3 linked regions of the Caenorhabditis elegans genome follow. The protein of the gene in region 2 purifies or fractionates together with the protein of the main gene of each other region. This does not show direct contact. Each region holds a gene or a part of one and is shown on either strand. Other genes may lie near its edges.

Region 1 (3,871 bases), on a different chromosome or scaffold from region 2:
GCTTTTTAATCTGAAAATTGAAAAAAACAATTCCCGCAAAATTATCGAATTCAAAGTATTTTGACGATAAAACTATTTTAATAGAGTTTACAAGTAAAATATAGATGATGATAAATTCAAAATATTTATTTAAAATTCTATGAATAAAGGAGGTTCCCTTCCCTGATTATTGGATATTCGTAGTGGGTGCACACGAACACCATTGCGTCGAGAGAGTGGAGGAATAGAGAATTGGAGTGAGCTGTGTGCACTCAAATGTACTGCAGAAGCCATCTGTGAGACTACGACGAAAAGGTTCTTCTGGAAAAATAGCCAATTATCTGATCTGAAATTAATTTTTTTTCCGCACCTGAAATAGAAATGTGTCCGTTTGACCACTTGGAACACAAACCACATAATGGAATGTTTGACCATGTCGCCTGACTACAGGCCCTTGTGATCAAATGTACTCCGATCAACAATTTTCTTTTCAAATTCCAAGTTTTTCAGTTTCAGTTATAACTATAGTTAAAGCTCGCCACAAAGAAAACAACTATATGGCGTGACGTTTTTTTTCTTGTGAGTAGCGTGATAAGAGAATAATTTCTGGGAAAACTTCGAACTGCAACATTCCGAAGCTGTTTCATTCACATAGAACTAACCGAAATAAAAAATTAGAAAATCTGAGGGGGAAATGAAGTGGGACGAGAAGAAAAATGGGGATGTTTGAATGATAGTGATGTGATAAATACGGAATAGATGAGGAAAAGGTTTGAATAAATTTTTGTGGAGAATAGAAAAACAATGAGGACGCCGTGAATTTTTTACAAGTCCGTATAAGTCAAAATTTATAAATAAAATAAAATGGGATTGCGGCTTGCTTTTTTATGCACAAACGTCGAAGGCATGAGAAGTTTAATGATGAGGATCCCAAGGATCCCAAAAGAAAAAACGAAGGAAAATGACAAGTACGTACAACAAATCTATGGGAAATGTTGGCGGCGCAATATGTAAGAGAATGGTGCTTTTTTCGAGAATGGAATAAAAAAGGAGTGAGCAGAAGAAGAAGAGTTCAAGAACTGATCTGTTTACAGGTACTGTCCAAGCCAACGGATTCCTTCTCCGTATCCTTGTCGCTGAAGAACAGAGCACATGAACACTTCCATCGGCCGAGAAGCCATTTCGTTGCGGGAAACGTCTCCTATAAAGATTTTCGTTTTTTAAATAAATTCAAGCGATAATTTCCAATCAAAAACCAACCCTTTCCGGTGCACATATGTTGAATGTTGAGTTGCCACTTGAGCTGATCCTCACTCAATGCTCCTGGCTTGTCAATCTTGTTTCCGAGAATAAGCACTGGAACGGAAGCGATCTGCTCGTCCTGGAGCAGCGATTCGAGCTCAACACGGCTTTCTTGCATTCTTTCGGCGTCGGCCACATCGATCAAGAAGACGACGGCGTCCACGGCAGGGAAGTAATCTTTCCAGACTCGTCGTGCTGGAAAAATGAAGAAAATTAGTTTAAAAAACCGAAAAAACGAGTGAATACCTTGCGCGTGACCACCGAGATCGTATGTGGTAAACGAAATTCCTCCGAGTGACATTTGCTCAGATGCTGAAAAATAATCAATTCAATAATTCTCACAACTAGTTTTTTGCGTCATCATCTTTAGCAATTGACAGATGATAAGCAAAACCGGTCAATCAGCTGTAAAGAAGAGAAAGATATCATTTTTTTAAAGTAAGATTCCTTCCTTTAACAGGCTGAACTACACCGGAATTGCTTTTAAAATCAATAAAAAGCGATAATTACTTGGGTGAAGAGTGGGAACGTGTTGAGCAATACGATCATCTTTAAGCATGTGAAGCAGTGTAGTCTTTCCAGCGTTGTCTAGTCCCAAAAATACCAATTTTCCCTTTTTGTTGGCCAATCCTGTAAATAAAAGGTTTTATGATGGTAAAATTCAGTTTTACAAACCCAGCATGTTGAGCACTCCATTAAACCAGTCCCATAAAAACGACATATTGAATCTGGAAAATTATGCAATTAATTTATTAATTAAATCACTTAAAAATCGGGTAAATCAGGCATTTTTTAGAGAATAAATGAATGAACTGAAATAGATCAAAAGTGGGAACTTTTAGTGGTTAAATGGGGGTGAGAAAAGAGGAAAAGAGAGAAAATAACGAGGCGGAGACATTCTGTGTAGCGTGCTACACAGAGACAAAACGACACGCGCTTCCACGTGTACCCGAAAAGAGAAAAGAGACGCAGTGTGATAATCAAAAAATTCTAATTCTGAAAATCGGCGATTCGGGACCAGGAAAGCTTCATTTAAAGTGAATCCGGAAAGCGCTGACGTGTCCAAAGTGGCAGATGGTCGAGAAGTGCGCCAGCGTCGGGAAATGCGTCAGTAAGGATGAAAGGCGCGCTTTCCGTGCGGAATGGAGAAAATACGCTTAAGCTTTAAATAACAATTAAAGGCATGCAAAATTCGACAAATATCACAAATTTTAAGTAGAGACGAAACATAATGGAAAGACAATTGGCATTTACAATGTAAAACTCCTAAATTTCAACAATAATCGGTGGAAAATTAAATTTTCGTTTAAATAAAAAGTTTAAAGAATAAAACTTACGCGCCAAAACTCCTTTTAATGAAAAATGTTCAGATCACTTCGAAAAATCGATTTTTGAAACTGATTCGAAAAAATTTAAATGTTGAAAAGAGTTTTTATGGCATGGTTTTTTCTCGATAAAAAAGAAAACGTGAAGGAAATGTTTTTCTTTTGAAATTATTCATTGAAATTTGAATTTATAAAATAGTAAAACTTATTCAGCTACATTTGGTCTCGACACGCCAGATAATTTGTTTAATGCCTCAAAAAAAGCGTGCGCCTTTAAATACTACGGTATATTTCTTCGATTTTAAATCCGCTCAATTTTTGAGAAACTGAAAAATGAAATTTTTAATACCATGGGAGAAACTAATACCGCGACCCGAAGGTTTGTCATTTTTGTGGCAAAATACGGTATCCGGTCTCGACACGACAATTTGTTGTTAATTGCAAAAAGGTGTGCGCCTTTAAAGAGTACTGTAGTCTCAAACTTCTGTTGTTGCACAATTTTCATTGTTTCTCATATTTTTCTTAAAAATAGGTGTATCAATTATAAAAAAATATAAAGTAGAGTTTCCTACCGTCCAATGTAGGCTATGCCAACACGCAAAATTCACGTTAGTTTGAAAGTTTTCATTTTCAAAAAAAAAATCAAGTTCATTCATTTATTTTTTTTTTCGAACTTTATTTTAAGCCAGTCGGAGTAGGTCGAGCCGTAGGCTCGAACGACACCGGCTGGTCAATTATAAAAAAAAACACACATAAATATTATTTAGCAAATCGCGAGTAAAACTGCAAAAAATCGATGAAAATTCCGCTGCACCAAAAGTTTCAAACTACAGTACTCCTTTAAAGGAGTACACCTTTCTGTGTTTAACAAAGATAGTCATGTCGAGACCGGGTACCGTATTTTCGCCTCAAAAATTACGATTTTTTCGTTTTTTTTTAACTCAAAAACCTGTAAAAATATTTTTTTGACAGGAAAAATTAAAAATCCGAAAACTACTGTATTTTTAAAGGCACATAACTCATCTCTGCAGTTTCAAACTCATCTCTGCAGTTTCGATTCAGTAATTTTCGGCCGTGTCGAGACCCGGATTCTTGTTTTCCCTGAACAAATAAAAATTAAACTTTCTAAAATCACCATTTTATTTGAAATTAGACAATTTCAGTCAGTGAATTGTTGTCTACTACTCACGAAAATGACATAATAAAATATATATAAGAGAAATAAAATAAGGCAACAGTATATACAGACAAAGGAAAGAACGAGG
Region 2 (4,878 bases):
ACAAACCTGCAAACCAATATTCAAATGAACAGCTGCAACTCCTTTTCCATCTTCATTCGGTGTATCAATAAGAAGAATAGATTCTGGTGGACATGGAAGACTTTGAGTACTCAATGGCATAAGCATATCATTTGGATCGAGAGAAATTATTCTAACAGCGTTATCAACTGTTCCGAGTGCCAAAAAACGAGAATTGAGTTCTCCTTCTGAAATCTCACTGAACGTCATGCATGCAATATCTGCGTTGAATAGTTTTCGTTCCGTGAACTCGTTCAATGTTCCATTCTGCAAAAAATGATCATTAATTTGAATTAAGTTATTTTCTGTAAAATTCTACCAAATCTAATTCGAAATACACAAGTTCTCCTCCTGTCAATGCAACTGCAACTTGTCGTCGATTAACAGCACACTTGACAATTTGTCGCCGTGGTGGTGCCTTCCATTCATTGATACGCTTATCTGCCCGAATATGACGAATACCTTCCGAGTAGATCTGAAAAAAAAGATAATTAAAACAGAAAACTTTTCGAATATACCTGAACAAGAGAATCATCACCAATCATTGCACATCCAATAGTTGGTGTAGTTGGAAGAAATCCTGAATCTGATGCTTCTTCGACAGTATCTCCAATTGTTAGTGCAAGTGTGGCATTGACAAAGGAAACAACAATATATGAGTCATATTGGTCTGAAATTTTAAATTTTAAGAAATTGGTCAGATTTTTAATTTTTATTCTAAATGAAACCTTCGATATTCTTCTTCACAGTCCACACAGCATTCGGATTTCCAGGCAAATCAGAAACTGCCATTTCAGAAATTTCAAGTCCATTTCGAAGAACTTTCAAAGAAGATCGAGCACCACGTCCAACGAGTGAGTAAATCTGTGCTGCATCTTCTCGAGCAATATCTCCAATCTGTAAATTCATTTCGTTTTAGCTTTGATATTCAACAATCATTTTTTTCCGATTTTTCAGCTTTTAAAGAATTTTGACTTTTTCATTTTTTAAACTTAAAAATGGGTTTGAAACATGATGCTGGTGCTAAAATGAAAAAAAAAAAATTAATGTAAGTGTTTTTTTTTCGAATACTTTCATATTAGAAATTAAAGAGGAACAAAATTGAATTCCTATCGGAGTAAAATGTGTCCGTATTCCAGTTTCTACAAAAAAAAAGTTGGCAAAATTTCAGATTTTAGCAAAATTTGGATCGTTTTTTTTTTGAAATCTTAACCCGCCATTAAAACTCGTAAAACATACGACAGCATCTGTAAGAGGGCTCAAACTATCCATTGAATCAATTGGAATCAAAGATTTGAGCTCATGTGGCTCAAAGAATGCCGCATCGTTTTCTCCGAATCCCATTGCTGATGAAAATTCGTCATCATCTCCTTCACCCAGACTAGCGATTTGGTAGAGCTCACTGAAATAAATTTAATTGTAAAACGTTTGATTACTAAAATATACAATAGATTTCAATAAAATTAAAAAAAAAAACTAACTGATTTCCGAACTCTGCAGCCACGAACAAGAATCCGGATTTCAGAATACATAAAGCGTTCGCAGGCGGTACAGTATCAAAATATTTGAGTTTCATCTCCGACACAAGATCCTCATCAGTTTCCAGTGTTACTTTGAAAATATCTCCATTTTCAGCTTGAACAAGGAAAAAGTACATATTTTTCGTTTTATGAGTAGCCGTCGCAATGATGAGCATTGTTCGGTCTGCGTCATCGAGCTCGTTCTGTAAAAAATTATTGAATTCAAAATAATTTGGGGAGAAATTCAGAAAGAAAAAGAAAAGAAATCTCACTCTTCTTCTTGGAATCGGACATCTAATATCTGGTTGATCACCAAGATTCTTGTACACCAAATAGTTTTCACAGCACACGATGACACCAGACGGACCGTCATTACCACCTGGAACTGCGATAAGCAAGTTTCCTGGATCATTTAGAGGTTCCGCATACTTTCGAACAACATGATTTAATCCCAAATCAAGCTCGTAGAAGGTTAACGTTTGTTGTGTTCGTTTTGCTGCTTCTCCGGTTGGATCGTTGTCAGCATCCTGGAAAATTAGAGCTGATTATTGGATTTCACATAATTAAAAATTAACAAAACTCTCAAATTCTAATTATCTTTTTTCTCAAATCAATCTGACATTACAATGAACCTTTCACTGAGATAATGTCTATTGCTGGCATGAGCTGGCAAACTGGACGCCCGATTTTTTTCATCGAACGTCCGGTTTGCTATCCTAATCTACGAGATAACCTTTTTGAACAAAATCTTCACAACGAAAGTTGCCTTCTTCGACAATTATATAGAAACGAAAAATTGTAGTGGTCTTCAAAATAAATATTCTGTCTTGTTTCATTACCTCATAATCAAATTCCAGACACGCAAAAGTAGGATTCTCAAATCCCACATCGATTCCAACCATTGCATAACACAATGTGTGATGCTTGTGAGCTTCAAGTGGCGATGAAATTGTTAAATGTGCTTCAGAGTCTCGATTCATAATATAAACAAGCTTTTGACGTTCAACGGCTCCAATCATTAATGCACGTCCACGTGGGTCTCCAACCAAGAAATGGCCTGGAACGATTCGACGGCATCCAGTTTTTCCGAAAGTTTCCTAAAGAAAATAGTGAAAATATATGCTTTCCACGCGGAAGGTTACCTGATGCAGCCGCTCGAAACATGTTTTTTCAGCGTTATATTGTAAAATCACAATTCTACCCGAGTCTGAACCAACTGCGATGAAATCTCGAGTTCCAGCTGTCAAACGGAAAGCGAGAAGCGATCGAACTATTCCGAAAATGTCCTGGTGGCACATAACCTTAAAAATCAATTCTCGTTTATCAAAATCTGTAAGTTTATCAATTTCTTACTTTTATTTTGCCTGTAACTGTATCCAGTGTGAGCAACTCCAGTGCTGATCCGCGCCCAACAACGATTTCCTGGAAGAAACACATTTTCAATCATATAATTCTCTAACTTTTATACCTGCGCCTTGGGGGTTCCAGAGAAATTGCCCTGAATGGCCTGATTGATGGCCGATTGCCCTTGTAGTGTCAAATTGTACAAGTGCATTGTGGAACACGGCTGAAACACATATATTCATGGAACAAAAATTGAGATGTTGCAAATATTGAAGAGACATAAGTTCACAAGACTGGAATTATACGAAAACCATGTATTTCAACCTTTCCCGTCGTAAAAAGTGTAGAAAAATTAGATCTAAAAATAATATTCGAAAGCAGAGCCGTTTGAAAAGTGGGCGTGGCTTGAACCGCAATGTGCGGCGCGCGTTTTCGCAGATACATGGCACGGTTTCTACCAGGGGATGTTGTATTTAATTAAATACAACGAATAAAGGCAACAAAATTTTCATTTTACAGCAAAAATTTGAAAAAAAAAGAAGTTTGGCATGCAATTAGTTTTCAGAAATCAGAAAAAAGAACAAAAACAGAAATTTCATGATTCGATATTAAGTTCCCGAATCATATTTGAACAAAAACAACACAAGGAAGGAAGGAAAGAGTGAAAAATTACAGTGTTATTAGAAAAAATCAAGCTTTCAGTGATTGAAATAGCTCATCAAGACGTTGTCGTGGCGTTTCACTATTCAACAACGACTTGATATCGTCGTCCATCTTCAAATCAGCGAGAGCATCTGTCGGCAGGCTCTGTAAAAAATAAACATTTTTCTGAAAACAATTGGTATTGTGTACCTGCCACGCAGTATTGTATTTTGTAAAATACTCTGCGAATGCCATCATAAAGATACCACAATCCACTGAATTTTTTTGTTGCGGAAGCTTCTGACACACAACTTTTCTGAAATTATTATTAGGTATATGATGGATATCAAGAAATACAATTAACCGGAATCTCGTGCAAAACATATCAACATCAGTTGCAGCTGCGGACATCAGGAGCCAAAGACGAATGTGATCAAAAGTGGAATCATGGGTCTTATCAATAACTTCTCTGAATTTTATTTTATGCATAGCAGTTTAAAATATTTGCTTACCTGTATTTTTTTGAATGAACCAGGCTATCCATGATAATAATTCGACATTCACCGGCATTTTCATCACAATTAACATGACCGGTTATCCGTCTTGACAATCGTCTACTCTTCACTTTATTGGTCGCGTCAAGTATATTGACGTCGGAAATTCGACGAACCGCGCCTGATGGATTATGCACAATCACGAGGAACCTGCAAACTCTTTGAAACTCTAAAAATAAACAATTAGATGGAACTTGAAGTAAATTTAGAACTTTTAAATATCGAATAGTTTTCTCAGATTTGTAAAGGTTAAAAATATTTTACCAATGTTTCGGTTTGTCGAGATGAACTGGGATTAGCAGAATATCTTTTTTGAGAAACGTTTCGGCATCATTTTTGCTGCGGAAGAATCTGTTATAGTGGTTGGCGAGCTGAAATGTCATATCATTTGATGAAATCGCCATTGAAGTTTTTCAATCTTTGAAATATCTACAAACCTCTGATCTCCGTGGCGGATTCTCCTTAAAATCTTTAAAACAAGTCTTTATTTTCGGTAAGAAGAATGAATGAAAGACGTGACTACTGGCTCTTCTGTAATTATGAAAACATTAATTTCATAAAAATGTTTTTCATATCTTACGTAGCCTCATCGAACACTTCCAAACGCATCCAATCACACATATAAAATTCAATGATTGTGTCGTTGAGTAAAGTTCGATCTTCATTTCGTCCCACCCAGCCATTATGAAATAATGGAGGAATGATATGTCTGCGATCTTTGAATCTAATCTCCAAATGTGCAAGTCTCTGAGAATTATACAAATCTGAATTTTAAGGATAATTTTGTGTTCTCACCTTTT
Region 3 (3,062 bases), 4.1 Mb from region 2:
AATTCACTGAATTCCGGCTGAGAATCTGCCGCGTTTTGAAAATTGATATTTCAACTCTTCGACGGCTGCAGCCACAAGAGTACGGAAAGATGAGAAAGCACATCTCGTACAGCTTTCGGATGATGATAGGCGTGTGTGTGGAACATTTTTCTGTTTTGAAAGAAGAAAATAGGTCGGCAGAAAAAGAGATAAGAAGTGGGGAAAGAGTATTCTTTTTTGCTGCTGTTGTGCCGAGTAAGAGTAACGAGAAGAATAAAGAGAGAAAAATGTGGAGAGCGTCGTCGACCGCACATAGTGGAAAGAGAAGAGGGATACACAAGTCTCTCCGTGTTTTTGTTACTCTGTTTCGTGCCTCTCTTCAAAATGAACACTATTTCGTTCAATTTGAGCCGTGGAAAAACAAAATGCTGAAAAAAAGCTTTACGATTGATTTTTTTTATGCCTGCAATAATAAAACATAACTTTTGGTACATTTGTTTGTGAATTGATTCTATTTGCGAAGTTCTTATCTATACGAAATTCACGTGAATCAGAGATGAGAAGTGGGTTTTGACCACGTAGTTATCAAAAATTATCAAAAAAAAGGTTCAAAAATTTAATATCAAAATTTGAAAATGAAAACATTGAGAAAGTGACAGGAAATTGTGGAGATCGAAAAATCTAGGAGATTCTCTCCTTGGGCTCCATGATGACGACGGAGTTTCCGCGAATGACAGTCATGCCGAGGTTGACGGATCCTCCGTCCTTTTGGTACTCGACAGCTTCCTGCAATATTAAATTTTAGAATAAATTAGACAAAAACGGAAAAAGAAACATACGTCGATGACCATGTTCATGAATGGATCGAAACCGCGGAGGATTCCAGAGACGCGACGGTTTCCGTTGAGCTTCAAGTCCATCTCCTTGTCCATGTACTTTTTGAGCTCTGGTGGATGTGTCTTACTCATTTTTCTGAAAAATTGAGAATTTGCAGGGGGAAATGAAAATGAAGAATGGAAAAATCATCAAAGAAACAGATTTTACTTAAAATAGAAAATAAAGCTCATTTTTCAACTTCCACCTATCGAAAATTCAGATAATACATTAATTATAACATTTTTTAACTAATTTTTCAAAGAATAAACATGATAATTATCAGGAAAATTGGATGAAAAAGGCTAAAATCGACGAAATTATTTTTCGAAATTCGAATAGTACGCAAACACCACGCTTGGTACACCATAAATGACGACAAGTTGCAGACGCTTGCACACCGTACTCACACAATTCTTATCGGATTTCCGAGCTTTTTCTTTTCGTTTTTCCAATTTTAGATGGTAAAAAAGAAGAGTAACTATCATATTCTCGTCGCACAAAATTTCTTATCAAATATCAGTGTTGATGGAAGCCACAATGACACAAATCTTCGAATTTTCCAAACAAAAGGCCTTCCGAAGGTGAGAATCTTGGTTTTTCAGCGATTTTCGTAACTAATTGATAATTTTTTCAGATATCTCCAACGGAAAAGAAGTTTTCAAACGGCGCAAGCTCCACAACCACCATCCGCAACAATGAATCAGTGATCTCACTCGGAACATCCGCTTCACTCGGAGAACGGCTAAGCTCGTCGAATTTGCCGCAGGAATACGCGGAGACACCACAGAAAAAGTGAAAATTAGTTGAAAATCAATATAATTAATTAATTTTCTCTATTTATAGAACTTCAATCTTCCGAAGAATCGCGAAAATCATGAGCTCCGACGACGTGATCTATTCAATGACCGCCACAAACAGTAGATCTCCGATTCTTGAAGAAGGCGTCGGGAGAGAAGATAGTGGGCTGATTGGTGAGCTGGCGAGCTTATAAAAGCTTACAAAACTTGAAATAAAATAAATTAATTCAAAATTTTCACAGAATTTCGCTCAGAATCACCATCTTGTTCTTCAAATCAGTTCAGTTTTCTGAGAAGGCTCAAAAGCACCATTACCCATGCAGATAGGTGAGTTCAACCATCATAAAATCCTCTAAAATCCCCCACACTAACCGTTCCGTGTTGCGAACTAACCCACATTTTCAGATTTTACATCTGCACCTCGACGAATGGCCAGCCTCTGGCAGTTTTCTCGTATATCTCGCCGAACAGCGACTACGTGGATCCGCTGGCGCCGATTTTCGCCAACACAACCGTCAATAAGAAGAAATTCCGATCGAAATCGATTTTTGGAAGGTTTAGAATTAACATCTCCTCTATAATTTATATCTTCTACCTAATTTTCCCCGAAAACTGGCAATTATCTAACAAAATTTCACAAAAAAAGCGCAGGAATTCAGAAATTTCGGCTATGCGATCTTAAAGGCACATGGGTTTATTCAGCTGTGCATCGACGCGAAAAGACAGCATGTGGTAGTTTTTTTTGTTAAATTTTTCAGTTTTCAGACCGAAAAAAAGGAAAACAACGCAAATTTTCAGCAGAAAGTAAGAAAAAACGCTGCAATTTGCTAAAAATCCGTGCGCCTTTAGGTCAAAATCTTGAAAAAATACGATAAATTCCCATAATTTCACCTTATAATCCAATTTTCCAGCTCGGATCGCATGCGGCATCAGGCTCACTTATCAACAGAAGAGCTGCGGCCATTTGTCTTCCGAGACGCTGAAGATCAAGTAATTCTGGGGCAGATTCGCCGAAAGCGGAATCCTTCGCCGTTTTTCACGCTGTTCGACAAGTCGCCCGCCTCGATTTCCAGGAAAGAGCGGAGGGTGAGGCTTTGAATTTTGAATTTTAAGATTCAAAATCCGCGGAAAAAAGGCGAATTTTAGCTAAAATCTTCAATTTTACCGAGTTTTTCGTGTCGTAGCAGGCGAAAATTCGTATTTTTGCAAATTTTGCTCGTTTATTTCACTTTATATCGTTGATTTTCGTACTGTTTAAAGATGGAGTAGCGCCAGTGAGGAAATTGCTTTAAAACATGCCTATGGGGCCACAATGGCCGAATATCATGATAAAAAATTTTTGAAAAATGTTCTAAATTTTACATGATTTTTTGAAAATTGAAAAAATCTCAGTTTTTGCCTAATTCCTAT

The links.
Region 1: the proteins of teg-4 (region 2) and sar-1 fractionate together in Caenorhabditis elegans (co-fractionation; one large-scale study listed by BioGRID). This does not show direct contact.
Region 3: the proteins of teg-4 (region 2) and snr-7 fractionate together in Caenorhabditis elegans (co-fractionation; one large-scale study listed by BioGRID). This does not show direct contact.

Annotation. Positions count from the first base shown.
Region 1 is NC_003282.8:4,511,311-4,515,181, forward strand, and holds sar-1 (Small COPII coat GTPase SAR1), read right to left. Parts: upstream 2,010-3,871; 5' UTR 2,003-2,009; coding exon 1,957-2,002; intron 1,912-1,956; coding exon 1,792-1,911; intron 1,594-1,791; coding exon 1,528-1,593; intron 1,477-1,527; coding exon 1,240-1,476; intron 1,181-1,239; coding exon 1,068-1,180; 3' UTR 583-1,067; downstream 1-582. Other genes in the region: ZK180.8 (uncharacterized protein), read right to left, coding at 130-273. UniProt on the Caenorhabditis elegans protein: Small GTPase that cycles between an active GTP-bound and an inactive GDP-bound state and mainly functions in vesicle-mediated endoplasmic reticulum (ER) to Golgi transport.
Region 2 is NC_003279.8:6,812,745-6,817,622, reverse strand, and holds the start of teg-4 (Splicing factor 3B subunit 3), read right to left. Parts: upstream 3,113-4,878; 5' UTR 3,094-3,112; coding exon 3,007-3,093; intron 2,961-3,006; coding exon 2,892-2,960; intron 2,840-2,891; coding exon 2,681-2,839; intron 2,636-2,680; coding exon 2,378-2,635; intron 2,066-2,377; coding exon 1,811-2,065; intron 1,742-1,810; coding exon 1,500-1,741; intron 1,421-1,499; coding exon 1,258-1,420; intron 916-1,257; coding exon 747-915; intron 689-746; coding exon 537-688; intron 494-536; coding exon 338-493; intron 286-337; coding exon 7-285; intron 1-6. Other genes in the region: ulp-5 (Ubiquitin-like protease family profile domain-containing protein), read right to left, coding at 3,573-3,689, 3,735-3,840, 3,889-3,993, 4,037-4,228, 4,343-4,449, 4,516-4,609, 4,659-4,825, 4,874-4,878.
Region 3 is NC_003279.8:2,724,903-2,727,964, reverse strand, and holds snr-7 (putative small nuclear ribonucleoprotein G), read right to left. Parts: upstream 952-3,062; 5' UTR 948-951; coding exon 819-947; intron 766-818; coding exon 661-765; 3' UTR 583-660; downstream 1-582. Other genes in the region: Y71F9B.6 (Cyclin N-terminal domain-containing protein), read left to right, coding at 1,314-1,436, 1,490-1,647, 1,699-1,826, 1,895-1,979, 2,058-2,207, 2,564-2,738. UniProt on the Caenorhabditis elegans protein: Plays a role in pre-mRNA splicing as a core component of the spliceosomal U1, U2, U4 and U5 small nuclear ribonucleoproteins (snRNPs), the building blocks of the spliceosome.